Linked DNA regions of Astyanax mexicanus. The protein of the gene in region 3 purifies or fractionates together with the protein of the main gene of each other region. This does not show direct contact. Links are inferred from orthologs where the notes say so. Each region holds a gene or a part of one and is shown on either strand. Other genes may lie near its edges. The genes, in order: psme4b, psme1, psmb3 and fbxo7.

Region 1 (8,106 bases), on a different chromosome or scaffold from region 3:
TCAGTCACAGAACATTTACTTCCGGAAGAAGCTTGCAAGAAAATGTATTGCTAACAGAACACTGTTACTGAAAAAAAAATATTGTGCACTATATTGTTTTTTATTAATATATTTTATTTCCAGACCTTACTAATGTCCCTGTAGCCTGTCATTCTTCCCAGCTCTGTTTAATCCATTTTATCAAAACTCTAGGGGCAAAATGTTACAACAAATTACAAATCAGAGCTGACAGTTAATGTTCTCCTCCAAGTGTGTTGACCAGTCCAGTGATGATCTTTTACTTCTGCCTTTGGCATCTTTAAAAAGTGGTGTATTAGGATTTTCAGATATTTTAGAATGTGACTTATTTTATTTTGTTAAAATAAAATATAAATTATTAATTAAGTACATAGAAAAATGTTGATATACTGTCTATGTATGTACACACACATATATATATATATATATATATATATATATATATATATATATATATATATATTATGTTTATTAAGTTTGGTTATATGTAAGTTTGGTATCTATTTACCATAGTAAGGCAGCTTTGCTAAACAGGGCCTAACTACATTTTAGGTAAGTATGTGTTTCAGAATTAGATATCCTGTTTGTTGGTTAGTCACATTTAAAATATAGGCAGACTGCGGGACTGGGATTTTAAGATAAAATACAGCAAGACTACAGGACTGGATTTCAAGAGAGAAAAAAAGCTAAATTACTGGTCTCTAAATAGTGACAGCAGAATATACGTGAATAAGCATAAGCACATATATGTTAAGTCAATTCCCAAATAAGTGGAATCAGAGAATCAACTTTTGGAATTAAAGACCAGCTTAAACAGAATTTACGCATTATATGTTGCACGCATTAAAAGCATGAGTCTGAACAACAACTGCACACTAATATACTTACGGAAAAACACTGTTGGATTTAGTAAGATTATGCTTTTTACATTTTCATTATTATGTAATATACTAAATCACTTATGTATACGGAAATGGATGCTGTTTTTAATGGATATTGTTTTTGTGTCAAATCATGACTACAATAATCTGTTGCATCTTATCACATACTTTTATATTTATAGTTTTTTAGACACATTGTGTTTTTATTTAAATATTTCCTGATGTGGGGTTGTATATTTGTTTTGTTATCTGTGGCATAAAATTGATGTTCAAATAATGTGTTTCCCTCTCCTATGTATATGAATAGTGTATGTCAAAATAAAATATGAGTAGTTATTGTCAAAACCATAAGGGTAAATCTACTTTATGGCCATCTTTTAGATGAGTTGCATAATTTTCTAATCAAACAGCAATGTTTTATTTATCTACTTTCTGCTGCTAGTGTAAGCAGTGATGTAAGGGTAAATACACACTGTGGAAAGATTAGTATCTGTATACTGAATTTCCACATTTCCCAGTAACTTTCCCAGTACTGCTTACAGTATTTTATCTCTGTTCCAGGTGAACACTTTTCCAGGAGTTTTCTGATTTGTCCTGAAGAGGGCAATCATGTCTCAGTTGTTAGTAGAAGCTGAAGGAGAAGGAGAACGTGGCCTCATCCTGCTGGGTCAGTGGGGATTTACTAAAAATGTCCTCTAATGTGATTTATGGTGACAGTGTGTGTCTCCTGGTCAAGGAGCTGTTTCCTGCCTATCTGCACAGATTGAGGGCACACTTTATAAATTGGCACAAATATAACAGCTGATAAGATATAGAAATAATGAATTATACTGAGCTTGCAGAATTGCATTATTAGACAAACGGCAGGAATAGTTAGTAAATCTATATCTGGTAGTTGAAAAGCATTGTTTCATGAACTTCATTTGGGATTTAAAAATATATAAATGATTTGAGCTATAGGGCCACCTGCATATCCTGTGGTACAACTGCTGCAACTGAAGTGGCCTGTCTTTGAGAAGCTAGCGAGAGGCTGGTTAATCCAGGATCTCATTAAAAATACCTATGATCTAAGAGGATAAATCTGCTTTCCTAGAACTAATTGACCCTCCGGGCAAAGAGGTTGGTTTGGTTGGCTAAGAACAGGTCAGCGCATGCAATTGGCCGGCCAGGACAATGTGACATTTTCTGATTGGCTGTAAGGGATGCAGGATGTGAGCTTGATGAGATTAGACTAGATATCTGGCCTAGCTCCAGGTAAAAGGTGTGTGTCTGTGTGTTTGTTTATGTGGTTCCCAGCAGAAACTTGTGTTTGGAGTTTGATTAGTCTGAGGTGATTTGGCCTGGCACAGAAAAAGTGGGTTTTGGTGTCACCCACTGATACTGAACCACTGAGGATGCCATGCTGCTTGCTGTTTTGTGGTAGACCAGTCTGATTTGATGCAAACATTAGGTTTTCATTCAGGATCTGGCTTCATATAACTTATCAAATGTTTATAGACTGAGACCTTTCAACAGGTGTCTGGTGTGTTTCTGGAATTAAATACTGCATTCACACTGGCCCTTTTTGGTTCACGAGATTTGTGAACTCTATATTAGACCTTCACTACTTTAACTAAGGAAGCTAAGAATGTTCTTAACTCCACAAGTTAAGAACGTAACCTCAACCAGGCAACTAACTATGCAGTGACTTAGCTACACATCCTGACTACATTAGTGTTGGAACAATATCACTGCACTGGGTCACTGAATAAAGAAAGAGCAAAGAGGATTGAAGTGATCTCATTATGCCATCGGCACTGATAAACCATTTAAACTGTGTGAATACTAGGGGTGTCACGATCTCGATATTTTATCGAAATCGAATCGAAATGAGGTCACGATCTCGAGTATCGAAGTCAAAAAGAGGATCGACGATCCCTCCCGCGCGCGCTACGCAAATAGCGCAGCGCGCTACGCAAATGGCGCGGCACCAACACAGCGCATCCTATTCATTTAAATAGAGATAGCCACTGCATGAGCGCAGTCGGCGGGAGTGTGATCACTGTTTTTATCTGTCCAACGGGGGAGGGGGGGGCGGGGGTTGGGCGCGCAGGTTTTGTATCTGTATCTAACGGAGGGGTGGGTGCGCGCAGGTGAGAGCGTGTGAACTCGCTGAAATGCGTGTGTCAGTGTGACTTGAGAACACTGACTATAGATCACAGTGAGGTGGATTAAAAATCTTAAACTTATAATTGACTACACCTGTTGCTTTCCATTGAATTAAAAAAACATCTTTCTCTCAGATAAAGTAAACACAAGCGTGTTTCTGACTAAAATAAAAGCTTTTCAGGAGAGATATAAGTTATGTGTAAATATTTATAAGACAATACCCACATCACTTATCTAACCAGCCTGTACTGATTTCTGCCCCCCAATAATGCTTTCAATAACCTCTTGTAACCCCTGGGAGCCAGGGGTTACACTCTAATAGCCTTTAATAGTCTTCAGTAGCCTTTAAAAGACTTACCTGGCGGCTGTGGTGTGTCCACTAAACTCCGTAGTTATAAACATCCTGAGGTTAGCAGCGCGCTAACTGACCTGTTTATAATGTATTCCGAGCAGTGCCTCCGTGTCGGCTGTTCTAACCTGCTGCTGTTAGCTGCTTGGGCTGAAAGATGAACTGTAGTGAGCTGTATTATCCGGTTAGTGGGGTTAAAACCTTTATTTGTTTACAGAAACAGTAAAAACGGACTGGCTGAGCTCTGTAGCCCGTGGCTGGGCTGTACTGAAGTAGTGACTGAGTGAAAAGAGCGGGGCTTGTGCTGCTGCTGCTAGTGGTTGGATGAAGAACTGCAGCTTCATGTAATGAGCAGTTTCACCAGCCATCCACACACAGCTCTGATAAACTGCTTATTTTAATAGTGCACACTGTTGCTACCAAAAAAAGTCACTAGATGGCATTACCATATATATCTTAATAAATAATAATAATAATATTTATAATATTTATAATAATAATAATAATAATAATAAATATATTATTTAAATTTTATGAGGCATAAAATAATAACAAGAAAAAAAAACAAGAAAATCGAGAATCGAATCGAATCGTGACCCTCAAATCGAAAATGAAATCGAATCGAGGATTTAGAGAATCGTGACACCCCTAGTGAATACGCTGTATAGGAAAAGGGAAAAATTATCAGTTTGTCAATTATTGTAGTTGATTTTGATTATTTATTTTGACTTCACATTTTCCATCACATGATCTACAGGCTCATAGGAAATGGTTCTAAGATGTTTTCATTTAATAGCTAAAAGTATTATAGTATAAATATATAGTCATAGTCACATGTTTATGTGGATTGCACACCCTTTAATGTTTTAATGTTAAATAACTACAAAAAAACAGCTTTGCAGATTTATCAGATCCAGGCAGGTATGATCCCTATGTGATTGTGATTGTGTGATTGTTGGAGGATTAGCAACAATTTTGTTGATTAAAGTGAAAGGAGAGAAAAAAAAACACACTGCTTCATATATAATCATTTCTTGTTTCTATTTTGTCTCTATTGTCAGTCACTACTGATGCTAATGTAATGACTGCCTGCACTGATCCATGCCCACATTTCATCCACGTTTAATAACTAGATGAAGTGGCGGAAAGGCACCGAGAGGGGCGCCCTCTGTGTATGTGCAGCATATGTGCAGGGAGGGAGGCTCTGCTATGCTACCCACCGCCAGTTGTGTGTCCAGTTCGTTAGCTATGTGTGTGTCCAGGAAAGTGAAGGGAGACTCCTAGCTATATGTGGGTGACCCAGGCTAATGTTACGCGTGTCAGAAGGAGCGAATGAGCAACTTTCGTCCACGTGCTTGAGAGATCGTGTCGACAATAAACGAGTCGAGTTCTCGGGACGACAGACGGGGAGTCTCGGATGTGTCAATAAAAGATTTGTCAGGGGAACTTGTCAAGGACTAAGAGGATAGATACTACAGCAAACAAGTCCAGGAGAGGATCCAGCTATTGGGGGAGTGTAATATGAAAAAGGACCAGGAGGACACCTTAGGTTTTGTCCCTCAGAAAGACATTGTCTACAACAAACTCCTTCCTTATGCAGACAAACTAGACAATGAGTCTAATATCATTTTGGCCAGCATCAAGGGGAACTTGGCTCGGGCTGTCCATCTCAGGGAGCTGTGGCCCGGAGTTCTCTTCTGGACGAGAAAACTCTCGACGTGAGTATAGCTGCTTTTAGACGTCGAAATAAAAATGTTAAGTTAGTAGTTAGTGTTATTTAGCTATGTTCCCTTCAGCAAATACACCACACACACTTCAGGGTTTAACCGGCAATAAGCTGAACTTAGCCTAGCTAGCTAATGCTATATAGCTAACCCAAATAAGCTGAATGGCTGGGCCTGCTAGGTTATAGCTATCTAAGCTAGCTAGCTAGCTAACGCTACGGCTGTGTTATACTAAGGAAGCTAGATGAGTTAGCAAGTTCTAAGTCACTCATTTGCTTAGATGGCTAGGGCTAGCTAACGCTAGTTAGCTTAGCGTATCTATGTGTAGCTACGTTAGCTAAGTTATTAATTTTATCGGTTTGTTTGTGTGTAAATGAACCGACAGTGCATATAGTTAGGTTTTCTGTTTCTAAATAGTTAGTTAGCAAGCTTTAGCTATGTTAGTAATTTTATTCGAGTTTTTTATGTTAGTTAGGTAATTAACTAGATAAACCTACAGTGCAGATAGCTTGTTAGCTTAGCTAAATATGGCCCTAAAAGTAACGTTAGCGAACCAGTTCTTATCTAGTTAATATTATCTGTTAGATGTGTGTTTCGCTTTAGCGTTTAGCTTGTAACTTACCCTAGCTTGTTGACTTGCAACCGGTGGTTCGCTAGCCAGATGAGTTAGCAAGTTCTGAGTCACTCATTTGCTTAGTTAGCTTAGCGCTAGTTAAGCTAGCTAACGATAAGTAAGCGGTGTATAGCCAGGTTAGCTAAGTTAAACTAACATTATAGGATAGCTGTGCGTCGCTTTAGCATTAAAGCTAGCTTATCTTGTTGACTTGCAACCGGTGGCAAGCTAGCTAACGATAACTCAGCAAGTTGTGGCTAATTCCAGAAGCTGCTCACTGACCGTCTTTGTTAAAGACCAGCTAACAGTAGTATGGGCTAATAATATAGCTAGAAAAGTGGGGAAACAGGGAAGCATAAACTATATTTTACCCTACCTAGCAGTTATATGGTCAAAAGCTTTTGTTTAAGCTTGTCATTAAGGAATTTGTGTGATTTAGCTTGTGGTTAGCTAACTATAGCTAGCTGATAGTTTTCAGCTCCCACTTCATGACCTGACATATCATGACACTGCAAAACAACAATACTCTTAGATAACCTAGTGTGAGCTAGCTCTCTGTCTGGCCTCTAACAATCTGCAGTTTGTGTTGAAAACGTGTTTATTTTGTGTTTTTACAATTTACTGTACGTTCGGTCATTTACAGAACACTGCTACACACATTTCTACTCAAAACAATATAGGTTAGGTTAGCTATATTGTCATGTTTTGACTCTAGATGCTGTCAGTTGTTTTGACAGACAAAAGACAGCTGTGTGTCCTACGTTTTTCAGTGGAAAACAACTGTACTTGTTGTGTTTTACTATATTTTTTTTAGACATTGCTACACTCTTTTCCTGATACAACATAACATTACCCCACTGCATTTTTTTCTTTTTTTGTGCATCACATGACCACTGTAGCTACATAACATCTGTCCATTCACAAGTTTAGAGTCACCTATATTTGTGCTGGTTACTGATGTGTTTATGAACTCTGCTTTCTCTCTTTGATAATTTTTTCTGTATATCACTGGCAGGTATCTTCGTCTCTATGGCAGAAAGTTCAGTAAGGAAGACCATGTGCTCTTCATTAAGCTCTTGTACGAGCTGGTCACCATCCCTAAGCTGGAAATCAGCATGATGCAGAGCTTTGCTCGACTCCTCATCAATTTACTCAAGTACGCAGCTTTAAACTAGTTTTACAATACTGAGAAGAAAATGTAATTTTGAAATAAAGGCCCACGTTATTGAACATGCTTTCTTATGCCATTTCTAGGAAAAAAGAGTTGCTGTCACAGGATGACTTGGAGTTGCCTTGGAGACCCTTGTACGAGCTCTATGAGAAGATCCTTTACTCAAAAACCGAACATCTTGGTCTCAACTGGTTTCCAAAGTAGGTTTCTTACTTAAGGTCTTCACAAATGCCAATGGAACTTTGTCTTTTTTTAAATATTAACATTGCACCTTGTGCCAGATGTTTATGTTTGGGATGCACACACACTGGTAGTAGGCAGTCCTAGTCTTAAGACTGTGTTTATGGAAAAGGAAGAGCTTCTGAATTCTCTGTTTACGTCTTTAAAGTTCAGTTTGTGGATGTTTAAGTATGCTGAATTTCAGTCTTGGCCATTCTAAGAAATTATAATTCTTCTTAGTACCACCTTATTAAATTAGCCTCACATAAAATACAGCAGCTATTTTTAGAAGAACCCATTAAATTGTAATTACTGTGTAAGATCTCAGTTGATGTGTTTAGTGTTGGCTTATGCGTCTTTCCTTTTCTCACATTTAGTTGTCGAGCAGAAGCCTCCCCTAAACAAAAAATGCTTAATTATGTTCGCAAGCGGTAAGCATAGCCAGTGTTTTTTACATGTATTGTACTCTACTTACTTGTATTGTACTCTTTATAGGGCAGCTTCTGGTATTAATTGCATGCATCTGAAATTAAACCGAATTCAAAATCCACTGCTGGTCCGCAACACAGCTTTGCCAGCCATTGTATTTGAAACATACACTTATACTTGCACTCACTGGCTTTATATTTGCCTATTTACAAAACTGCGCCCCATAGGTTTTCATCCACAACTTCAGGCACCCTCTTTATCATTGGTTAATTTTTGACCACAGGACTGCTGCTGACCAGAATTTCTTTTGGGTGATGGGTCATTCTCAACACATCATGTTACTGGACTTTCGGGGATCAGCATCTCTGGCTGAGGGTGGTGTACCACCCAGTCGTAACATTAATAACAAGAACAAATAAGTCATGTTTTGGAAATTACATCAACACTTGTTTCTCTCTGCTCATTTTTCTAAACATTTAGTGGCCTGTTGTCAAATCAGTCTTTATGCTCAGCAGATATCTGATCAATTAGTTGTGCTTTCAGGAAAAAGGCCC
Region 2 (8,237 bases), on a different chromosome or scaffold from region 3:
TGTAGTCCGTTTTTATTTTTTACACAACACCCAAACTTCATATATATATAATATTAAGATTATACTTATATACCTAATACTATAAATGAGAAGAGTCACTTACAGTGTTGAGATTTTCTTTCAGAGTCTGAATGTGAGGCTTAATTTCTTTGATGAGACTCTCGACTTTCTCATTAACAGCAATCGGACCACAGAGAGGACCAGCTAAACCAATAAAAAAACAATCCTGTTAACATTTGAGCATGAAGAGTGCAATAAGAGATAACCACTACACAATCTAACACTCTTATTCTTAATAGTTATATAAAAACTTATATATCAGATATTTTATTTGTTAATTTGGACAACGTTTTTACATTCAAAACAGCATAAAGGCACTTATCAATAATAACTTATTGTTATATATACTTATTGACAGGATTAGTTTCTCAGGGGGCGTCTGTGAAAAATATTTCACACTTCTACTCTTTAGTGATAAAACTCCTGGAGCCGGACTGCAGTTGTAAAAACAGGAGGATCAGTGTTTTTTTTCTCGGTCCTCCATTTCCACTCGCTGTTGTGTTTTTTTTTAACGTGGATCTCTGTAGAAACCGTGGCTCCCAAAGTGTAATTACGGTGCACGGCAGTGAACAAATATCTATTTTTTTAAAGGCGAGGAGACGAAACTCAGAGATGTGCGTCCGGACGGGACTAAAATTACCGGAGGAGCACGGAGTTCAAACAGTAGATAATTCAGCCTGTAATTTTCTCAGAGGACGTCTGAGAAATAAAACACCTACATGATCGTTCTGGACAGGAATAAAATCACAGAGGATAGAAAAACCCATAAAAGAGAAAATTACCCCAGAACCCCCTGAGAAACTAGAAACTAATCCTGTCCAGATAGGGCTTAAGTCGATGTATGGATTTGCATTCATTTTAAAAATATAAGATGAAATTTATCACATGTAATGAGTTGTAAGTGCAGCTTTAACTGTGTCCAGTATCAGAGCAAGATATACTTTACCTTCCTCCTCTTCTTTATCTCCTTTGTCTTTCTTTCCATCCTTTCCTTCTTTCTGTGTGAAAGATAAAACTTACAATGCTTTATCTATCAATATCCATTAACATCCATTATGCCACAGTTAGTTCTGACCCTGCAATGTGATTCGCTGAGAGGTCATCAGTATCTCTGAGGAACTGGTAGATTTTTAATGTCTGGTCTGGATGTAAATAAATACTCTACCTCACTTTTCTTCTTCTTCTTCAGCTCCTCTTTGGCGGGGTCCGGGATCGGGATGTCCAGAGGAGCCCTGAGAGCAGACAGGTCCTCTGAACCCAGGGAGGCCTAAAATCAATAACAGATATATATATATATATATATATATATATATATATATATATATATATATATATATATATATATATTTATATATATATATATATATATATATATATATCTGTAGTTCTATCTGCAGTTATGATATCATATCATAATCTTTCAGAAGCTAAAGTATCAGAACCAGACACTTTACCTGCAACAGGTTGTCCATCTTGGCAATCATCTGCGGGAAGAAACTTGAGACCAGCTGCTCTGCCTGTGCCAGAGAGGAGAAATGAGAGGAGTCTGAGACTGAGATACTTGTGAAAAAAAAAATATATATATTTTTTTTATTTGGGAGAGTCTACAAACCAAGAAAACGCTTTACCTCTTTAATGGACTTCTTAGTGAATCCATCAACCTGTAAAATACATAAATAATTAAATAAATGCTAACATGAACGTCATACTGTTATATTGTGTTATTGTTCTTACAGAGGATCATCAGATTTAAAGTAGAGAAGTTCAAAGTAATGTTAAGAGACAGTACAGAAATAAAAAAAAAGAGTTAAAAGTAATAAAAATAACATCTTTACATTTTATAATGACCCTGTAATTCTTATGCTTTACTGAAAAAAAAAACTAGCTTGATCTTTCCAAACACATTCTGATTAACAACATTAAAAAAATAAAAAAATGTTCTATTTTTTCTGGATGTTTAGAGCAAAAATGAACAGTTCTGACCTATATCTACATACACACGTGCACACAACTGTTGGTGCCCCTCGGTTAATTAAAGAAAAACCCACAAAGGTATCAGAAACAACTTGAATCTTATAAAAGTAATAATAAATATAAATTCTATGAAAATGAACAGATGAAAGTCAGATATTCTGTTTTAACCATGCTTTAAAAAAATAACTTATGAAACAGGCCTGGACAGAAGTCATGGAACATTTAAAGTTATCCAAAGGCAGTGTGTAAGACTGGTGAACATGGAGAACATGATTCCAAGATCAGCCCTATATTTAGCTAATTACAGTGGACACACCTTGATTTAACATGTCCCTTTGGTCACATAATTTAATAAATTAAAAGTTTATTTTTTTAATTTAAATCATTCTATTCAAAATCAACATTGGACTTTCATTGGTTTATTTTCATAGAATTTTTTATTTATTATATTACTTTGATCAGATTCGAATTATTTCAGTGACTATTCTGGGTTTTTCCTTCATTAACCCAGGGGTACCAACAATTTTGTCCACGTGTGTGTATAATTTTAGTGAGATTATAAGAACATGGGTAGATATTACTGCAAACATATATATTTTTAATATAGTTCTCTGATTTTATTATAAATACATTAAAAAAACGTGATTGCATGTTTTATAAATGTATCTTGGACGTCTCTGTTTGTATTGTGTGTGTGTGTTTTTTTTTAGAAATAAGTAAAAGAAAAGATAAAAAGTAAAAAGTATTATTGTTGTTATATAAAGAAAAGCTAGAGTATTTTGCAGGCCTGGAGTATAGGAGATAAGAGGTAATGCAGTATAAAGAAGAGCTGTAATAAAAATGGAGTATCTGAGTTTTCAGGCCTACAGTGACTAACCAAAATCCACAGCTCACCTCTTTCTTAGACGCAGGGCTCATATCCATAGAAGTCATTTCTGTGCAGGTAAAGTTCAGGTGTAGCTACAGGTAAAATTCTGCTCACTACTGAAACTCTGACTGTGAAATTTAGTAAAAATATAATTTATCCTCGACGATCAAACGACGAGGCGCGAGACTGAGAGAACAGGGTGAAAGTGAAACTAAATCGAGTTGTATTTAATCAGTAATTCCCATCCCAGCCGCGAGAGGAGAGCGGACTCTTAATTTGAAATTACAAAATTAAAGTCTGAACTTTTTCGAACAAACTGCGCACCCAAACAAACCAAGCTGGAATTTTACTTAGAATCAACGTTAAAATGTGGTTAAAGTAATGTCTGTTGTTGCTTCAGCGTTGAAACAACGTTGAATCAACGTTTAATGTTAAATGGTTGTGCTAATATTGAAATTTTAATGTTGAATCAATATAATGTCCTCAACCTTCTTCCTTTTAAATCAGCATTTTACATTTCATCACCATATAACGTTCATTTCTAAAAACGTTTGGATGGAGAAATTAAAAAGTGTTTTATTTCTATTTGCAGTAACTGTTTTTATTTATTTAACACCATGTTCATGTTCTAATAGTTTTACTGTTTTAGTGTTTTACTGTTTTTGATGTTCGATGTCAGATGTTCAGTAATTAGATTGGTAGTGGTGGTGGGTATAAACTTTCTTTATACTCTGTATTTACTGCAGTAATCTAAGTTTATTGTTAACACTGTTCACCATAGGATTTTCTCATTTTAGTAAGCTAAGGTTGAACGTATGACGTTGAAACAACGTTGTCATATCAACGCCGATTCACTTTTCAAAATCAACACCAAATCCAACCTTGATTCAACCATAACATCAAGGTTGTTCAACGTTGAAATGCCAGCGGGGATGGTTTATTAAGGTTGAACGTTTAACGTTGAAACAACTGCTATTTCAACGTTAATTCACTTTTTAAAATCAATTCCAGCATTTATTCAATGTTGAAATGCCAGCTGGAAACGTTGATGTTATGGTTGAATCAACGTTGGATTTGGTGTTCAATTTGAAAAGTAAAACACAGTTGAAAGGACAACATTGTTTCAATGTCGTTTCATCAACCTTTAATAAACCATAGGCGTTTTGGAGATACAGCTGAGCCTCACCTTGCTGGTTAGCGAGAGCAGCCGAGCCTGGGTTGCCAGGTCCAACAAAAATATCCAGCTGAAAGTCAGTCCTTGGAAATGCCTTTTGGAAATAAGGTTATTTTATTTATTTATTATACTCACTTACATATTGAATATGAACTTGTTTTCTTTGCATTATTTGAGGTCTGAAAGCTCTGCATCTTTTTTGTTATTTCAGTCATTTCTCATTTTCTGTAAATAAATGCTCTAAATGAGAATATTTTTATTTGGAATTTGGGAGAAATGTTGTCTGTAGTTTATAGAATAAAACAACAATGTTCATTTTACTCAAACATAAACCTATAAATAGTAAAATCAGAGAAACTGGAGTGGTCTCTTATGTTTTTCCAGAGCTGTAGTAGAAAGCTTTCTTTGCACAATAGAAACAGTTACTCCAATAGAAGCAGGATAAACTTTTTTTAATAAGTTTGGAAAAAAAATATATAGATATATATAAATCACCATCACAATTTCCCAGTACTTTCACTCATATTTACACATACACACAAACACCCAGCCAACAGGCTTCCACATAATTCCACATTCTACACATCATGTCTTGTGCGCTGCACTTAAAAACACTGATATAAAAACACACACAAACACACACACACACAGCTACAATAAATTAAGGCAACTTAATCCAAACGGATTTTGGAATCAGAAGTGCAATCCTTTTAGAAAACAAAACAAATACAGTATATAAAGTATATAAAGAGCACAGTACAGTAGATGCTATCATTGGAACAGTGCATTGTGTATCTGGTCAGCTCCTTTTAGTGAAGGCCATTCTGCTCAATGTACATTCTGGACAGGGACGCTGCCATGGATTTGGCCAGTTCCTCATCGCGTTTGCGCTGAACCTGCGTGTGACGGTACCAGTCGTCGTACTCGGGGTTGGGCTGGCATTGGTCCAGCAGCACGTCGTAATGTCCGTTGCTCAGCCAACTCAACCAAATGGCTGGTTTGGACAGGTCTTCTTCTCCCAGGTAGTGCGTCATGGTTGACACGGTAGGGCTTTCCAGACTGCCTCCAGTGGTCAGGTAAATGTTGACATTCAGCATCTGAGTCATGGCAAGAAGCTCGGGATATCCGGCCCAGGCCCCGTCCTGCGCCGCGTTGATCAAAAACTCGCCCACGTCGCCTTCGATGATGGGGCTGAATTCATCGAGGTGGTCGGCGATGTGGTAGAGCGTCTGCTCTCGGAGATCTTTGTGCATGGACTGGTCTCCGTACACGGCTTTAGAGACTGCTCGGTAAAGGCAGTTTCCATCAGGGATGATGTGGAAACGGTACCTCCTCTTGTCCTGGAGGTACTTGTTCTGCTTGTCCACCTCTGCCAGGTATTGGCTCACTTTGTCGTTAAGGCTGGAGCTGCTGCTGCTGCTGCTGGTCTTATTGTTGACCACGGTTGGGGGCGAATCTTGGAGAATCTTGAGTTCGAAGACTGGGTCTTTGTCGTATTCGTACTCTTCGGTTGGCTGTCGCTCTAATGGAACTCTGGTTGAGTCTTTGCTTTTGATTGGGTAGAACGACTTTTCTTCTTCATCTTCTTCATATTCTTCTTCGTTGTCTTCTTGTTCTTGTTGTTCATCTTCCTCTTCTTCTTTACTTGTGTCTTTTGACGCAACACTTTGTGAAGAACCTTGTGACGACTGTTGCTGTTGAGTCGTCGCATCGTTGATGGCGATACACAAGCCTACTGGTTCCTCTTCATCCTTAGACTCAGATGCTCTGCAAATATTTCTAATAATTCCTGGCAAGCTCTCATATATTGAAACATCCTCGCGTGTTGATGATTGATGATGATTGGTCAATCCAGGTTTTTTACTAGACCCATTCTCTGTTGTAGATCCCAGAAGGTCTAGATGACTCCCTTGCTTCACTAGATGAATTGGAACAGATCTCTCCACTCCATCAGGCCGGGTTATGATGATTTCAGCTCTGGATGTGAACAAATGCGGCCTCATGGAAGCAGCAGTGTCGTAACAGGCGAAGGCAGGCATGTTTCCAGCCAACGGTTCCTCTGCGTTCTGGAAGTTAGCGGCTTTAGCAGAGCTGGAGTCTTCGGCAGATGGCTTGCTGCCGCTGCTGGTGCTGATAGTTATCAGAACTTTCTGAGAGAGAGGAGGGTAGTGTGTGAGGGCACTGCTGTACAGATGCATTTTTCCTCCAGCCTCTCCTTTATATATACGCCCGTGTTACGGAGAGATGACAACACGGCCAAAAATACTCCCAGTCATGGAGAGAGAGCTGTGGGGGCTTCTTCCCTCCTTCCCTCCTTCCCCCCGTCACTCAGGAGCCATTCCTGGGCCGTGGCGTCAGAAAACACCCCTTCCTACATCACCCCGCTTATTTATAGAAGGGGGCAAAGCAGAAACAGGACACTGGGTCCGGTGCTGGTCCAGCCCCGCCTGGTCTGGAGCTTCTGGAGTTCTCTCTGCAGTTGGTGGTGTTGAAACACAGAGCTGGAGAAGAAGAATGCGAGACATGAGCTCACCACGCCCATAAGGAAGTCCTGCCTCACACTCACACAGAGAAACAACCAACCCCCCCAACCCCAGTCTTTCTGACACAGGGCACTGAAACATTGAAACAGGACCCCCCCCTCCCCTCTGTCCAGCCCCCCAACAGGAATTCTGCTGCTGACCTTCCCTCTTTCTGCATGACATCACCACCCTCTGATTCACTGAGCTGATCCCATTTACCCTATAAGGGACATGACTCATCTGGAAGAAGCCAAACAGAAGATACTATTTACCACAACAATCAATTAATCAGTCGTTATTATGACCCGCATTATCAATCGAGTCGAGTATGTTTAAAAAAAAACAGGGAATTAAAAAGAAAAATTCTAAAAAATAAATAAATAAATAAAACATTACATTATCCTTTATTATGGCACGCATTATCAATAGAGCCGAGCATGTTAAAATAAATAAATAAATAAATAAACATTATTTATTATTATGACGTCTATTATCAGTAGATTAGAGCATGTACAAAAAAACAGGAATGAAAAAGAAAATTCTAAGAAATAAATATATATATATATATATATATATACACAAAACAATTTAACCCATTAGACTAAGCGGCTCAATCATGTATTTATCTTATTGTGGGAACATGACTAAACTTTATAAGATATTTCCTTTATAACATTATAAGATATTTAGGAAAAATTTTGCTAAAAGTTAGATCTGAGACTAACTAATATAATTTATTCATTTATAAATTAACAATAAAGTAAATCAAAAAATAATAAATGAATGTACATTAATAAAATCAGGTAAAACTGATACAGCCGTGAGTTGAGTTTTAATGTTTCCTGTAATAAGGATGAGCAGGTGATGAGCGTTCATCCACAGATAAACTCTGTACGGGACACATGTGACATAAGACCCCACTCTCACCCCAATAAGTCTCCATCATACTAACTTTGTGAGTCACTAATATATATATATATATATACATATGACATTTTCTTCTTTGTAAAAGTGGATCCAAATTTTAGCTTTAAAAGTGAAAATACAATTAACTGCTTGTATTTTATGCAAAACAAATATCACATTGTCAAATAGATATAATTGAGGATTAAAAAAAAATGTATATAAATTTTAAAGAACTATATAATATAATCCACAATGCCACTGCTAATATGTATATAAATGAATGCTGTTTGTAATATTAGTATCAGTAAATAACTCCTACTACTATTTACTATGATGTTAAGTGGTTGAGGTGGTTTCCCAGACAATTCCCATTGCAATGGTTGATAAGAGTTTACTGTTTGGATGCTATAGTGTTGCTATAGTATCTAGGTTGGTTGCTTTGGTTTCCAAAAATTGTTACTATGACATCCCATGTGATTGCTCTGGTGATGTTAGGTTGTACAGTTGGGTTCTACAGTGAGGCATTTCAGGCATTTATCATAAAATTATGTTGATTGGTGGTTGCCAGGGAGTTGTAAGGTGGTTGCCATGATGTTGTTATTTGTCATATTCGCTTACCAATAATTCTAATGTGTACAGTTGTATAAAAGTGACGTCACTTAACAGATCACGGCTAATAAAGAAGCCTCAGTGTCTGAGTTTTAAATAGCCTCTGTATAGCTGGAATAGCCTC
Region 3 (8,359 bases):
TGCCTATTAAAGATTTGAAATCCACGCCAATGTAAAGGAAGCGTAAAAGTATGTGAGGCGAAATATTAAAGGAAGGCTGTACTCACATGACGTGGACTATAACTCCCATACCAGAAACTGCATCTCTATCTACAGCATTCAGCATTGCCTGTGAGATGGTTTCAAACAGGTCATCTGGCTCCTAAACGAAAGTATTATTAGAGAGCATATTAATACAGAGTAGAAATTTAATATTACCAATAATCAGTCATACTGAAAAGCTTCTCTCACCATATCAGGTTCCCACAGCGACTCGCACATGCCGTACATCTGCTCTGAGCACGTGCCGCTCACCACGAAGTCTTCTGTTACCATGGGGCATCCAATCAGGTCCAGTGAACAGATAAAGGGCTCTGAGGTTTTGGGGTCCAGACCAGCAATCACAGGCTCAATGTAGTAGGGTCCAAACCTAAAACAAGAAAAAGCATGTAGCTGAAGTACAACAAAGATTATATAAGACAGTAAAGCTGCAAATAATAAATATTATAGCAGTCGACTAATCTGGCGATTATTTTTTAGATTTTTTATCAATCCCTCTATGTTTCCTATCGGTGAGGCTCCAGATTAAATACATGCTTTACTGCATTTTTACAGCTAAACCTTCAGGATTCTAGACAGATTTAGCAGAACTCTAACCCTAACCTATATAAAATTACAAAGCATATTATAGGAGCCATTCACAAGGATAGGATGCTGCTATTTTTAAGAAATTCATCTTTGATATGTCTTCAATTGAGAAATAAATCTCAACAATTCAGATCTTTTTTTACATTTTATTTTAATTAATGTAAATTACCATAACAAGTCAATGTATTCTTTCTATATTATTTGATATATAATCCATATTATAGATTGCAGTATCTCCCTGTCTGCTTTCTCTCTGTCACTCCAAAGACAACAGAAGCTTATAATATGTGGGATTTAAACACTGAGAATATGTTTAAATGTATAATGAGCTGATGTACAGTGAAGATGGGTGTTGTCTTGTCCCTTATCTGGAGTGTTTACGTTTTTGAAGACACAGAGAATGAGCTGAGTATGTCTCACACTTACCTCCTCTCATACAGCAGGTTGGACACCATGCTCATGAAGGTCTTTGGCTTGATCTGCCGACCCTCCTTCAGCTCATATAGGTTAAGGCGGAATTTAAGTCGTTGAGATCTGAGGGGCAGGGGGAAGAAAGACAATAATAACATTACAGTGTTAATTCACATCAAATAACAAAAGGATAAAATTAAAAAAGGGTAATCATAGGGCCCAGCCTTTTCTCTTTACCCATATTCTAATCAACCAAAGCCTTGCAAACTCTTCACATGGGGCCTTGGGTGGGCACCTTATGCGTCCATTAATGCTAAACTTACACTGTCTGCACATCTGTGGCCAGTCCTGCCAGGCCGATGTAGAGTCTGTCACCCATGGGGAAGATCTTCTGAAAGTCAGTGGTGACCATCTGAGCCTGGATTCCGAACCTCCGGTCCGACGCAATCGCAACACAGTTCTTCCCACGCATCGCCATGACGGCCCCTCCGTTATACGACATAATAGACTGCAGGAGTAATAGATTGGATTTACAGTGAGTTACAGAAAACAACTGGTGGATATGCTCAGATTTATAACATATTATTGTACAAATAATATTTTATATAACTTCTGCAAAGTGCCACAATATTGTCCAGTTCACAGTAGAGCTGAAGTGTTTTGGGTTATTATATTCGCGGTAAGTCAAATGTTTTTTTGTTTATTATGTTGATCATCATCATCATCATTATTATTCTGCACTGAAATGCTTGTGGTGTCGCTTGAGGCTTAGCTTACCCTCAGCATATGCAGAATATTTTGTTATAAAAGAAAGCAGTTGGTGCTTTTTACAGATAAATTATTTAGAAACAATATATACACACACATTATACAATATATATACCTTCTAAGAAATTAAATTCTAAGAAAAGTGGGGAATGGAAGAAAAATAAATAAATAAATAAATGAATTATAATCTAATATAGTACATCACATATTCTTATGCCAGGGTTAATGACATTAGGTTACTCCAGCCTAAATCCATAAAAAAAACATGGGTTTCATATTTTTAGAACTTTTTAGAAAAGCCATTTAATAGGAGTGAGATTTTCTTCAGTTTAAATGAAGTGAAGGACATATTTTATACAAGAATATTGAAACAGAAAACTGACATTTTGCTGCAATCCATGGCACAAACGAGTAATCAGAAAATCAAATGATTCTACCACGATAAACAGACCACAGTAGTGCAAAATAAAAAAAGACTAGTTACATCTAAAGTTGCATTGGTGTTTAGCTCAATAATAAACCAGCAAAGTGTGCAAAATCTGTTCATTTGACGTTAACATCAATGCAACTTAGTTTTAGTCTTGCATCTTAAAACACAAACAGAATTAATTTTAATTTGGAAACTAGTTATATATTTTAGTTAGCTAAAACTAAATCTTCCTAACCTAAGTAGCTCAGCTATGGTTTTATTAAAAAAAAAATAGCTAGCTAACTAGATTTTCAGTTCAGAGAACTATAAAAAACTATGTGCTCTGTATTATTAGTATTATATTTTTTAATTTTAAATTTAATCAAATCTATGCATTAGCTAACTTTGGAGAAATTTAGCTAGCTTAGCTTAGCTAACAGCTAGCTTTAGCCGGTTACCCAAACATATAACTACATTTAGCGGCATATAGCTGATAGCTTAGCCAGTTCGGTTAACAGTTTCGTTTTCACAACAGTCATTAGAATGCTTTATTTTGGCTAGTTTAATGAAGTTAAAATTGCAATATTTATGCCGTTATAGTGGTTAAATATATAAAATATATTTATTATTAATACTGGAGTTATATTTGGACCGTTAAAATCCGTTAGAAGTGTCTCTATGTTAGCGATGAGCATGATACTGCAGGTTAGCATTAGCTGCTAATCTAAACTAAGCCACCCGGTTAACTGAGCCAGGCGGCCGGGTAGATTCTGCTGTTCTGTATAAAAGAAAGGCTAAATAATTCACTTACCATGCTGGCGCTGCTGAAGAAACACCCAAACTACAGAGAAAAACTGTTCATATACTTTAATAAACCGCAGATATTCTTATTAACGCTGTGATCCGCTCACACACAGTGACTACACACTTTCACCCAGCGCTCAGTCCCGCCTACCCGCTTACCTCACATCCGCTCTACTCACACCGCCCACTTACATATATATATATCTCTAAATTATCTTTATCATTTATATCATTAACTATATAATTTATATAATTATTTAATAATCTAAATTATCTAAATATTTGCATAATTACTCTAAATGATCTTTATAATTTACATAATTATATATATATATATAATTGATATAATTTTCTAATAATCTAAATGATCTCATTACTTACTTACTCTAAATAATCTTTGTAATTTAAATAATTATTTATATAATCTAAACTATCTAAGTTCTTACATAGTTACTCTAAATTATCTTCATTTATTACTCTGTAGGTAGAATACTGTATACATACTAGGGTTTAAAATACTTTTTGTAGAAGTTTGAAGAAGTATGAATCTAAGGATTTTACTCTTTAAGTAAAAGTATAAAAGTAATGGTTTCAAAACTGCTTAAAATACAAGAGTAAAATTAATGTAAGTATGAAAAAGCCATTAAGGGCTGTGTGGGCAGTGTGCCACATGGCTGGACAATAAATAGATATATAATATAAATATAAATATAAAATAAACCAGTTGTAAATCACTCAAATACCATTAGTCATTCAGACCTGACTTATGTTCTAGTGATGAAAATATTCAAGTGAAGAAAAATAGAACAATGCTATTTTCTGCCTGTAATGCACTCAAAAACAGGATTTAGTAAAAATAATAATAATAATAATAATTTTGGAGTTTTCATTGGCTGTAAGCCATAATAATCAACAGCAAAAGATTATATAGATGTACATTGTAAACTGAATTACTGTATTAAAGTAATTTTCAGTGAAAATGTAATAGTTTGAGATGCAGTACTGTGTATTTGAGCAGCTAGAGGGCGGTAATAGGAAAGCTGTGTGTTTCTGTTTCTGTAGAGAGATGGGATGAGGAACAGTAAAACAATAACAGAGGAGATGGAGAGCGAGGTGGAGGTAACGCTGGAACTCGGGCCGTTTGGAAACTTTAAATGTAAGTATTTTCTCAGCACTTCACTAATAATTCAGTAATAATCAGATTAAAGGCTGCGGGGTGATGGTTATATATGCAGCTGAAGGCAGTAACGTTAGTTTAGTACAGTAGTCAGAGTCAGTTCACTAGTTCATCTCCAGATAAAAGCTTTTAATGTATTATTTAATAAATTCAAACCTAAAATCTAAATTATAATGCCTTGTTTTACTTATTCTAATTTTCCTATACACCTTAACCTGTGTAGCAGATGCGTTCAGGGCCCTGTAGGCTCGACTGCATCTGCTGCTGCGCAGTTCATCAGCAAGGCTAGGCAATCTTAGGGACTTTTATTCTATAAGCATCACATAAAAAAAGTTTAATATTTGATACGAAACTTTACTAAAAATCCTGTAATTATAATAGAATCCTTTATATATTTATATTTATATAATCTTAAAATGTTGAATTATATCTGCACCTGTCAAGATATAATAAAAATCATAAAATTGGCCCTTTCCTAAACTTTTTTTTGTAAATTTTAAAATCAGTATTTTTCTCAATACGAATGAAACATTTTAGGTGGGCCACACTTTTCATTTCTTTAAAGTTATCTAGTTTTTATGTCGATTTTTAAACATGCAGAATTGTATGGAGGACAAAAAATGGCATAAGTATAAATAAATAAATAAATGCACAAATAAATTAATCAATAACTAAATATACAAATAAACAGATACCTGCATAAATAATTGTAGAGATAAATAAAAAAATAAATAAATACTTATTTTTATTTCTTTATATATTACGCATTTACTTGTTTATTCATTTATTTATTTCAACATTTATTTATTTGCTTATTATTTTTTACAATATTTTCTTCTTGAATTTATTTATTTCCACATTTCTTTCTTTATTTATTTCTGTATTTGTAAAAAAAAAAATATTATGTCAAGATATATAATTAATAAAAACAATAAAAACATGCATTATTAAAGGATATATCTGGTGTAAAATTGACTTGTGTTGTGAACTTTATAAAGAGGATGAACTTTTGCTGAATTGCTATTTTTACACCTTTAACAAGCTCAAAGTAGCTCTACACTGTCTGTCTGTATTTTTTTCCTGCCCTCCTGCCTTATTTTCCCGTGCCAGTGTCCATTGTCGATTCTTGTACGTATTTGCGTCAGTCATAGTTGCCATGAATGTTTCATTATTAAAGTCTGTTTTTAGGGACTGATGCCAACACAGCAGATCTTATTGTGTGGCGGGTCAGCAATAGGAACTTATTTACTGGCAAGAGGAACACGGCCCTGCGAGCTTTCGAGTGAGTCACTCTATAAATGTAAATGTAACTGTAATGGTCAGTTTTTCCAGTTTATTAATGTTTGAAATAAAATTTTTAATTCTGATTCTGAAGGCAGTTTGTCAGGGAAAAGGAGCTGGAGGGTAAGGTGGCGCCGACATGGGTGAAAAAGAAATGGGAGAATCTGAGACAGAAGTATAAGGTAAGTGTGGTATTAAACCTGGGAGGGGTGATCCTGTTGAGTGCTTCTCATTACTTAAAGTTTTCATTCCGGCTTCTAATTGTTTAGTAAAACTCCTATCCAGATAAATCTCTGCATCCAGATAGAGTGAATTTGATTGTGATTGGATGTAGAGAAGTAAAATAAACATATATTTAATGGCTTTTTTTATGTTTTCCCCTTACATGACTTTTACTTTTATACTTTAGGTAGTTTTAAAACCAGTACTTTTTTTAAACAACTTTACTTAAAGAGTAAAAAGCTTGAGTTGATACTTTTTAAACTTCTACAGAAATATTTTTTTAAACCTTAGTATATAAACATATAGGATTCAAGGAGACTTTATTGCAATTCACATCACATGTGGTACATGAGGTGGAACAAAATTCTAATCTCACGGTTCAGTTTAGACCCAAAGATCAATTTTTTAAATAGAAAAAAAAGAATAGAATAAAATAGATATAAAGAGAAATACAAAAATAGGGAGAGTAGGCAGGTAGTCCAGAGTGCAAGTTTGCTATAGCAGCATGATAGTGTGAATTATATATTGTATATATCTTTAACTTCCAATGTAAAAGGTTATATACCTTTCTAAAAACAACAATATTCTGCAGCATTACAGCGTTACAGTCTGATGTACATGCAGGGTGTAGTCAGGCATTTAGTACTATTTTACTACCTTAAAACTGGAAAATCTGTAATTTCACTGAAGAAAAACAAATTTTCTGCTGTGGACCAATTCAAACACTAGTTCTGATCTTCCCCACTGAATAAAAACCTATAACCTGAAACCTGAAATCTATACTCTTATTGTTACAGGACATCAAAAGCCTCTCCTCGTTTGGGGGAGACTCATCCGCTGCTCCATGGAAATGGTTTGCAATCATGGATCAGGCTCTGAGCGAAGAGATCCCGCTCACTCCTTCCATTCTGACCAGCCCCTCCACTGCCCCCTCCACCCCCTTCACCTCGGCTGTTCTGGTGTCCTCCTCGGCTCAAGAGTCTCCGCCCGTGAAGAGGAGGAGGGAGCAGTACTGGCTGATGGCTCTGCAGGAGCTGGAGAGGAGGCAGGAGGAGCGAGAGCGGCGAGAGGCTGAGAGAGAGGAGGAGAGGGAGAGGAGGGCGGCGGAGAGAGAGGATGAGCGCGAGAGGAGGGCGGTGGAGAGAGAGGAGGAGAGGGAGAAGCAGGCGCTGGCGAGAGAGAGGAGGAGAGAGCAGGAGATGACAGAGAAACAGGAGCGATGGGAGAGGGAGCTGCTGGCCAGAGAGGAGAGGAGGGAGAAGGAGTACAGAGAAAGAGAGGAACGGAGGGATAAAGAAGCTGCAGCGAGGGAAGACAGGCTCTTTAAACTGCTGGAGGCCTTTGTGGCTAAAAAGTCAGATTAATAGTGTTTCATCTTCACATCCAAGAACTGTTATCTTTCTACTAATAAATGTTGCCCTGTTTTTGTATCTTGTCGCCAATTTCTTTGCTGAAATGTTAAATTTTGGTTGTTGCATTGGTAGCAGCGCCGTCCGGTTTATGGGCCCTATCTTACACCCTGTGTAAGACGTGTTGCGACACTCATTGCTATCTTACACCCTGTAACACTGTATCTTCACATCTTGTTACCATAGCTTAAAAATAGTTCCAATCTATGCAGATGGGCGTGGCCGTCTGGAAATGAAGTGTGTTCAGGTAAATATCCGATGTTTTTCTATCTTGGCGACAGGAAATACAGGTGTGCCACAGACTGATTAAAACCCTTACAACAGTCACCAGTCAGCCACCCAAAAGTGTGCGTTGCTTGCACACGTTACACACACACACAGATGAGTAAAAAGTGTGACAAAAGTGAGTAAACCTTTCACTTTTTAATTTTTTTTTAATATTTTGTTATATCTTTTCATGGGACAACACTGAAGATATGATACTTTGATACAATGTAATCAGTGTACAGCTACAGTACAACAGTGTAAATTTGTTGTGCTCTCAAAATAGCTTAAAAGTGAGCACACCCCTAAGAGAAAATTTTGCCCAATTAGCCAATTTTTTTTTCCTCTTTGGTGTCACGTGACTCATTATTGTTACAAGGTCTCAGGTGTGAATGGGGAGCAGGTGTGTTAAATTTGGTGTTTTGGGTTCAGTTCTCTCATAGTGGTGACTGGATATACAAAATGGCATCTCATAGCAAAGAACTCTCTGCTGATGTGAAAAACAGAAATACTGGTCTACATAAAGGATGGCCTATAAAGCTATATGCTGTAGCTGTACACTGACTACTTTGCAGTGTATCCAAGTATCATATCTTCAGTGTTATTACATTAAAATATATAATAAAATATTTACAAAAATGTAAATATTAGAATTAAAAAGGCCCTGGTGTTGTTTTCATTATTTGTTTTATTATTGCACAAGTCCAACAAATAGCAGCACATTACAGTAAAGCAGACTCAGCGAAAACTGCGTATATGAAATCACACAAAAACTGACATATATATATATATCGACAATCTCTCAGTCCTCTCAGACACAGATTACTAATATTAATATGCTTTATTAATTAATATTATAATTATAGTTTCTTTCTTTATATATAGCTGTTATATATATAAAGTATAAAGTGTTTCCTCTTTGGCCTAGAGTACAAGAACTATGATTCG
Region 4 (7,860 bases), on a different chromosome or scaffold from region 3:
AGGAGAACATGCCAACATACATAAAACTGTGATTAAAAAACAGGGTTATTGCACCAAATACTGATTTCTGAACTTGTTTTCTTTGCATTATTTGAGGTCTGAAAGCTCGGCATCTTTTTAGTTTTTTCAGCCATTTCTCATTTTCTGAAAATAAATGCTCTAAATTGACAATATTTTTATTTGGAATTTGGGAGAAATGTTGTCCGTCGTTTATAGAATGAAATGTTCATTTTACTCAAACATATACATATAAATAGCAAAATCAGAGAAACTGATTCAGAAACTGAAGTGGTCTCTTAATTGTTCCAGAGCTGTATGTATAATTTTGCACATAATTTGGTTACATTAACACTGTACAGATGATTATATTTTACTCATTCAAAGTTTAAAAAGTATAAAATATATTATTTACATATAGTCAAGTGCCAAGTTTTACCAGATTCCACAAACCACATATTTGATTCAAATCTAGAAACACTTTAACCTGACCCACATCTGTCAATTGTTTAAATGCCTCTTTAATGTGGACAAATCTATATCAGAACATGTAATAACATTACACAGATTTGATTTGATCATATCTGTCTGACAGATAACAGTACTCACCACTTGACTGGAGCTTTGCATGGCTGATACAGTGTGACTCTGACTCTGCTGTTTGTTCAGCTGATCTGTTGCTCTGTTGTGAGTCTGAGAAGTAGAGGGCTGTGGCGGGGCGGAGTCAGCAATGCTCTGAGGCAAAATCACACTGATCATGTCTCCGGACACCACCCCACACGAGGACAGCGTCTGCCCAGTGTCCACCAGCGACTCCTTCCCATTCAGAGACAGACTGAACTCTGTATCAGCACTGCATGAAGAATGAACATGTGCATGAATCAAAGGAGCTTTATACTCAGCACTTATGCAAATGACTGTGACCTTATGAAACTCCGTTCAGCAGCCAATGCATTTTGGTCATATCACACAATCAACAGTATATCTACCATTTAAAAGACAAAAACATTGAAAATGTTTACTGTGGCTATAAAAGGCACTTACCTGAAACCGATTGAGGGCAACAACACCTCCTTCACTTGGATACTGAGCTCAGTCAGTGTGGGCTCTGCTTCTTCCAGCTCCACACGGCTGGTCTGCTTGTTAATTCTCACCCTTAACTTCATACTGTACAAAGGAAAATTACATTAAAGTCATTGACAGCTAAATTGAGAAGACAATAACCATTTTTTATCAATATAATCACTTACACAGTACCAATCAAACATTTGGACACACATGTGTTTTCTTTCTTTTCTATAACATCTGAAATTATTTTGTAAACAAAAATGGTTAAACAAACCAGAATATGTTTTATACTTAAGATATCCTAAATATCCATATTTAGCTTTAAGTACAGATTTGCACACTTTGTTTTTTTATGTTATTATCAGTGAATTTATGAGGCAGGGTTAGCTGGAATCGTTTTATAAGCATCTTGAAGGAGTTTCTGGAGGTGCTGAACAATAGTTGCTGCTTTTGTTCTCCAGCTCATCCCAAATCATCATCTCAGTTAGGTTTAGGTCAGGTGAGGCCAAACACTTTTATTGTTTACCATGTAATTCCATATGCGTCTCTTAGTTGTTTTAATGTTTTAATAAGAATATACACCTTAAAATTAATGAGAATGTGTGGCCAAACTTTTGACTGGTACTGTAAATGTATTATCGCCTCACTTAAACCTTATTCACCCTAAGTGCAAGACTGAAGACTGTAGACTGAAAACATTTAAATTTGACACTAAAAGATTAGAGAGAAAAAAATCTACATTTTAACTTTTATTTCCAAGTATTTACATCTAGATCTGGTACATTGCATAAATATTATCCATAGCCAGGACAACTTTCCTGCAGAAGAAGTCATCACTGGTGTACTAAACAACATAGGATAAACAGGTAGAACAAGCAAAAAACACAGCAGTTGACGGAAACATTTAGAGAGCTGTAAAGACAACCACTTAAAGAAAACCTCTAAAACAACCTTTAGTGACATCAGCAACAACCTCCAGAGGGCGGAAGTGAAGGTATCACAATTTACTGTTCACCGAAGACTTTGTGAACAAAAGTATTTAGGCATCACCAGATAATACAAACCACTATTAATTTGTTATTTACCAAGCAGTACAAAGACACTCCTATGGACTGATGAAACAACGATTAACCTTTACCAATGTGATGGAAGGCTAGTGTGGAGAAAGAAAGTATCTAAACATGATTCCAAACATACCAGCTCATCTGTAAAACACAGTGGAAGTAGTGTCATGATTCTTGTTCATTGATGTACAATTAAATCAGAAGTCTACAGAAAAATGTTAATTTAAAGAAAGATGAAACCAAACTGTTTGGGAGAACCTTCATTATGCAACTAGATAATGACCCAAAATCCACTGCCTGGAAAGCGAATGATTTGCAACCTAACATTAAGTATGTTTCACTTTAATTGACTTTAAGTTTATCTGTTCCAATATTTTTGCTCACAAGAAAAATGTGTGGGTTCAAACAGAAGACGCTATCTTCTGAACTGTGTACTGAACTGTATACTTGTGGAGGGCACTGTATATAAAAGACATTAATGAACACATATGCAGTATACATAAAAAGACCCTTACACAAAGAATTTTTTTGTTTGTCTAACACGTTTTGGTTTGGAAATAATGGAACTCAAAAGAGTGAAGTTGGTGGGGTGTACCCAAAGAGACACAGGACGTCCTACTAAACTCAAGGACAATAAAATGTTAGCTGTTTGAATTCAATGTGATGTTTCAATGTTTTCTAGTAAACAAATACTGTAGAATTAATTAACTATGTAACGCTAGCCAATGTAACTAGCTAACCCTAGCTTAGCTCATTTGAGAAAGTGGAGTAACGTTAGGCGTGTGGAGATGAGCTTTCCTTAGGATTTGTCTGAGTATCACACAACACATACAGCAGCCTTGCTCTCTTTTACCAATGTTTTATCATTGTTATATCTGAAGTCCTGTGTGGTCTGCGTTATTCTTGTCGTTCTGTAAAGACTGACATGATTCTGTCACATTCACTTTACACAGCAGCGGGGGTTCACTCGATAAACAGTTTTTTAGCTAAGCTAACTAACTAGCTTGTCGAAGTTGCAGCAGATTGATTAGCTAAAATTGCGCCGTTCTGTCCGAATAGACCTAAAACTCTGTTACTCGGGTAGATTTACTGTATCGCTAACATTAGTTAACATTACCTGAAGTGTGTTGATACAGACGTCACTGTGCTGAGAGCCTGCAGGCGGAGATGGTTTTGGTTTTGTAAGTAACCGGTGTTTTTCAAAATAAAAGTCCAGCGTCGAGTTGACGTACGTGGACAATGTGTCAGCAATATTTAATGACGTTCAGCTCTGGAAAAATAAAAGAGAGCCATTTAGTTTCTCTGATTTTGCTATTTATAGGTATATGTTTGAGTAAAATGAACATTGTTGTTTTATTCTTTAACCTACGGACAACATTTCTCCCAAATTCCAAATAAAAATATTGTCATTTAGAGCATTTATTTGCAAAAAAATGAGAAATGGCTGAAATAAAAAAGCAGAATTTCAGACCTCAAATAATGCAAAGAAAACAAATAACTCTGGTTTTCGATCACAGTTTTCATGCATCTTGACATGTTTTCCTCCACCAGTCTTACACGCTGCTCTTGGATAAATTTATGTCACTCAAGTCACTTTTTTATGAAAACTGGAATCATTTTATTTTAGTTGGTCAACTACTTGAATCAAATAGTAGACCATACAGTTATATTGACCTAATTAATAAATACAAAATTGACAAGTACTCTACAGTGATAATACTCTACAGTGATAAATGCTATACCAGTTGGTGCAAATTTACTGCTGAGAGGTGTAAACTTTCCTTGTCACTCACTTGTATGCTTTCAGCTAAACACCAGCAAAATAATAAGCTGATAAGAGAATTATTTCAGAAAGACATTGCTACAATTCCTTAAGTAATATCATTTTGGAATAGTATTATATAGTAGAGTGTATAGTGTGGTCTTTACCTTTAAAATATTTAATTTCTAACAAAGTGAGAGAAATTAGGCTGAAATTAATATATAACATTTTCTTTTAAAGATTTTCTTTTAAAATATAAGTGTGATATGGAAACTGACCGCTAATTTTGTAAACGTGCTTCTGAAGATGTTACTTCTTGTTGCTTGCTATGGATATTTCATATCCATAAATGATATGTAAAAAAAAGTTTGGGAGAAGGACCACACCCAAACTCCACGCTCTAACTCCACCTCTTATCAATAAACCACCCTATAAATACCTGCTCTAACTACCTACTTTTCGTGACAAAAGTTTGCATCCCACCTTCGCCCCAACAACCTCCTGGTTGCTCATTATCAGCCTTTGTCTCAGCTTCTGTAGCAGTTACATCTTTTACCTTAGTTTCCTTCCTCTGTCTCTGCTGGGTCAGTGTCCAGTAGCAGGTTGGAAGCGTTTGATGCCTCATCCATAATGTGAGAGGCCTGATCTTCCTGAGGGCAGTGAACTCCTCCATCATCCACCAGTGTTTGGCAGCTTCTGATGCCTCATCCACAATGAGAGTGGCCTGGTCTTCCTTTTGGGGGCAGTGAACTCCTCCGTCTTCCACCACCAACTACATCACAATCGCGCAGAGTACAGGCTCCACTATCACCTCAGCTTCAGCCAGGTTGTTATGGTTGTTTTTTATGTAAACCTTTTTTATTTATTTATTTATTTTATTTAAGGGTATTTTTGTTTGTTTTTTTGTGGTTGATTTTTTATGTAATATTTTTTTGCTTGTTTTCTCATATTTAATTATTTTTGAGGTTGTTTTTTTTATTCTTTTCTGGAGTGTGCTACTGTACTTCACATACAAGACTTCAAAAGGACTAAAAGACCTAAAAAAGACCCCTTACACTGTAAATTTTGATTTATGCAGATTTATTTCTATTTTGCGTTGACACAAATCCACTTATTCCTACACTGTCCTACTTATACAGCCTCTTTCCTCGTTTTCCTAGTCTTCCTCGTCTTCGTAGTCTTCCTAGTCTTCGTAGTTTTTGTGATCTTCCTCGTCTCCCTCGTCTCTTATGCTTCTTTTTGGATTCAGCTTCGGGTCTGCATTCAGCCTCCGTCTCGGCTTCCTTAGTCTCTGCTGGGTCAGTGCCCAGTAGCAGGCTGGGAGCTTCTGGTGCCTCATCCATGATGAGAGTGGCCTGATCTTCCTCTTGTGGGCAGTCAACTCCTCCATCTTCCTCCAGTGTTTCCACCACACTCTCACAAAGCTCTGTATTAAAGGTCACCTCAGCTTCCTCTGACTCTGTTAAATAAGTGACCTGTAGCAGGCTGGGAGCTTCTGGTGCCTCATCCATGATGAGAGTGGCCTGATCTTCCTCTTGTGGGCAGTCAACTCCTCCATCTTCCTCCAGTGTTTCCACGACACTCTCACAAAGCTCTGTATTAAAGGTCACCTCAGCTTCCTCTGACTCTGTTAAATAAGTGACCTGTAGCAGGCTGGGAGCTTCTGGTGCCTCATCCATGATGAGAGTGGCCTGATCTTCTTCCTTGGGGCAGTCAACTCCTCCATCTTCCTCCAGTGTTTCCACCACACTCTCACAAAGCTCTGTATTAAGGGTCACCTCAGCTTCCTCTGACTCTGTTAAGTCAGTGACCTGTAGCAGGCTGAGAGCTTCTGGTGCCTCAACCATAATGAGAGTGGCCTGATCTTCTTCCTTGGGGCAGTCAACTCCTCCATCTTCCTCCAGTGTTTCCACCACACTCTCACAAAACTCTGTATTAAGGGTCACCTCAGCTTCCTCTGACTCTGTTAAGTCAGTGACCTGTAGCAGGCTGAGAGCTTCTGGTGCCTCATCCATGATGAGAGTGGTCTGATCTTCCTCTTGTGGGCAGTCAACTCCTCCATCTTCCACCAGTGTTTCCACCACACTCTCACAAAGCTCTGTATTAAGGGTCACCTCAGCTTCCTCTGACTCTGTTGAGTCAGTGACCTGTAGCAGGCTGAGAGCTTCTGGTGCCTCATCCATAATGAGAGTGACCTGATCTTCTTCCTTGGGGCAGTCAACTCCTCCATCTTCCTCCACCAACTCCATCACAGTCTCGGAGAGTACAGGTTCAACCATCGGCTCAGCCTGCCTCTCCTCCACCGTTTCAGGGTCTCCTTCCACTGGAGTGACCGTAGTCTCCTCCGTTGTCGTCGGCTTCTGTGTTCTGGATCGGTACAGGTAGTAAAGCGATCCACCGGCAGCTATAGCTAGAGCTGCAAGGCTGGCTGCTCCTAGTATCCCTCGAACTGCACACATGTTGTCGCTGCGAAGATCCGTTGACGACTGAAGTTTTTCGTGCTGCTGAGCCTTTTATAGTGTTGAACAGTGACGTCATATTTATATCCACAGCAGTAAAACTGTGATGTCATTGACATGAACGTTCCAAAGTAATAGCAATAAGCCAACAAACAATAAAAAAAAAACACATCCAAGTCCAAAATCTGATTAAAAATATCTACCAACTTTTTTTTTTATTGTAATCTTTTATTTTTTTGTTTTTAAAATGTAAATATTTATGTGGTTATTTTTTTGAGGGGGTGTTTTTTTATGGTTGTTTTTTATGTAAACTTTGGTCGTTTTTTAATATTTATTTTTTGAGGATTTTTTTTGCGGGTAGTTGTTTTATTTTTAGTTGTTTTGTGGATGATTTTTCATGTAATCTTCTTATTTTGCTTTTTTAATATTTGATTATTTTGTGGGGGGGGGGGGGGGTTTAGGTTTTTTTTATTGTTGTTTTTTAACGTAGTAGACTGATGCCAACTATGTTTTTTCGCTTTTTAAAGTTTAATTTTTTTGTGGTTGCTAAAACTATCCGGTTTATTTGTATTTTTCATAATTTAATATATCTATTTTTTATTTTGTTTAGATTTTTTAAAGAATCTTTTTATTTTTTAATTTGAATTATTATTATTTTTTTAAAAAAGCTCCAAATCTTTTTAACTTTAAGAGGACAAATCCGTTTCCATGTTGATTAGAATAAAAAAATAGATTGAATATTTTTATAGTTGATAAAAAATAAACAACAAACTGTGCTGAATTCCTCACTACTGCTGTAACGCGTTTTACTTCACACATGACAACAGTTTAGTTTTAACTATGTGTAACTATAAATAAATAAAATTTAAATAAAACAAAAGAAATGCTTTTCCCAGCTAACTAAAAAAGGTTCGCCAAAAAGTTGCAAGGGACGTTCTTATTGAACGTTTGTAGGACCACCAATAAACATTCAGAAGACTATTATGCGATGTTTAAACAAACATATTTAAACGTCTTTTATGGTCTTCCGTCCTTTAAACGTCTCTAATAATGCTAAGTTAAATTCTATCGTTTATTAGATTGTGGCATATAATAAACACAAGTAGATGCTGCAATCTGCTGTTTTTATTAAATATGAAAAGACATATTTCTCGTGTATTGCGATCAGGGCCGCCGCTCTGCATACGCAGACAACGCAGCCAGCGTTAGGCCTCAACCATTTTGCAGTTGCAGGGAGCCAAATTGACTGAGAATGAAATGTGTTGAAATTATGACATTATTAAATTTAAAACCCAATGTGAATTATTAATGATACGCTCATCTTTTTTGTCTTTAAACATTGCATGGGGCACCTACTCTACTACTTAAAAGCGGCACGTTATTATTTTTGTGCATAATATAATGCCCCCACCCCTATTGCCTGAAATGGCACGGCTCGGTTTGCTCTGTTGGTTGTTGCCAGATGTCACATTGCCCAGTCAAATAAATAATCAAAAATGCATGGAGGCGC

What was found.
Region 1: the proteins of psmb3 (region 3) and psme4b purify together in Homo sapiens (affinity purification with mass spectrometry; 3 studies listed by BioGRID and IntAct, counting the BioPlex papers as one, with this or other methods). This does not show direct contact. The link is inferred for Astyanax mexicanus from reciprocal best matches to the Homo sapiens genes PSMB3 and PSME4.
Region 2: the proteins of psmb3 (region 3) and psme1 purify together in Homo sapiens (affinity purification with mass spectrometry; 4 studies listed by BioGRID and IntAct, counting the BioPlex papers as one, with this or other methods). This does not show direct contact. The link is inferred for Astyanax mexicanus from reciprocal best matches to the Homo sapiens genes PSMB3 and PSME1.
Region 4: the proteins of psmb3 (region 3) and fbxo7 purify together in Homo sapiens (affinity purification with mass spectrometry; 4 studies listed by BioGRID and IntAct, counting the BioPlex papers as one, with this or other methods). This does not show direct contact. The link is inferred for Astyanax mexicanus from reciprocal best matches to the Homo sapiens genes PSMB3 and FBXO7.

Annotation. Positions count from the first base shown.
Region 1 is NC_064422.1:31,571,451-31,579,556, reverse strand, and holds the start of psme4b (proteasome activator complex subunit 4B), read left to right. Parts: upstream 1-4,588; 5' UTR 4,589-4,917; coding exon 4,918-5,114; intron 5,115-6,748; coding exon 6,749-6,889; intron 6,890-6,987; coding exon 6,988-7,104; intron 7,105-7,500; coding exon 7,501-7,554; intron 7,555-8,106. UniProt on the Homo sapiens protein: Associated component of the proteasome that specifically recognizes acetylated histones and promotes ATP- and ubiquitin-independent degradation of core histones during spermatogenesis and DNA damage response.
Region 2 is NC_064413.1:749,473-757,709, forward strand, and holds the start of psme1 (proteasome activator complex subunit 1), read right to left. Parts: upstream 3,123-8,237; 5' UTR 2,968-3,122; coding exon 2,929-2,967; intron 1,722-2,928; coding exon 1,689-1,721; intron 1,578-1,688; coding exon 1,515-1,577; intron 1,328-1,514; coding exon 1,226-1,327; intron 1,059-1,225; coding exon 1,007-1,058; intron 205-1,006; coding exon 104-204; intron 1-103. Other genes in the region: transcriptional regulator ATRX, read right to left, coding at 4,886-6,274. UniProt on the Homo sapiens protein: Implicated in immunoproteasome assembly and required for efficient antigen processing. The PA28 activator complex enhances the generation of class I binding peptides by altering the cleavage pattern of the proteasome.
Region 3 is NC_064412.1:56,741,400-56,749,758, reverse strand, and holds the start of psmb3 (proteasome subunit beta type-3), read right to left. Parts: upstream 3,227-8,359; 5' UTR 3,069-3,226; coding exon 3,066-3,068; intron 1,586-3,065; coding exon 1,401-1,585; intron 1,201-1,400; coding exon 1,093-1,200; intron 449-1,092; coding exon 271-448; intron 182-270; coding exon 87-181; intron 1-86. Other genes in the region: si:ch73-193c12.2 (putative uncharacterized protein DDB_G0271982), read left to right, coding at 4,130-4,214, 5,424-5,517, 5,611-5,698, 6,536-7,102. UniProt on the Homo sapiens protein: Non-catalytic component of the 20S core proteasome complex involved in the proteolytic degradation of most intracellular proteins. This complex plays numerous essential roles within the cell by associating with different regulatory particles.
Region 4 is NC_064409.1:44,922,226-44,930,085, reverse strand, and holds the start of fbxo7 (F-box only protein 7), read right to left. Parts: upstream 3,345-7,860; 5' UTR 3,247-3,344; intron 1,165-3,246; 5' UTR 1,164-1,164; coding exon 1,042-1,163; intron 851-1,041; coding exon 607-850; intron 1-606. Other genes in the region: uncharacterized protein LOC125798983, read right to left, coding at 5,019-5,870, 6,039-6,350. UniProt on the Homo sapiens protein: Substrate recognition component of a SCF (SKP1-CUL1-F-box protein) E3 ubiquitin-protein ligase complex which mediates the ubiquitination and subsequent proteasomal degradation of target proteins and plays a role in several biological processes such as cell cycle, cell proliferation, or maintenance of chromosome stability.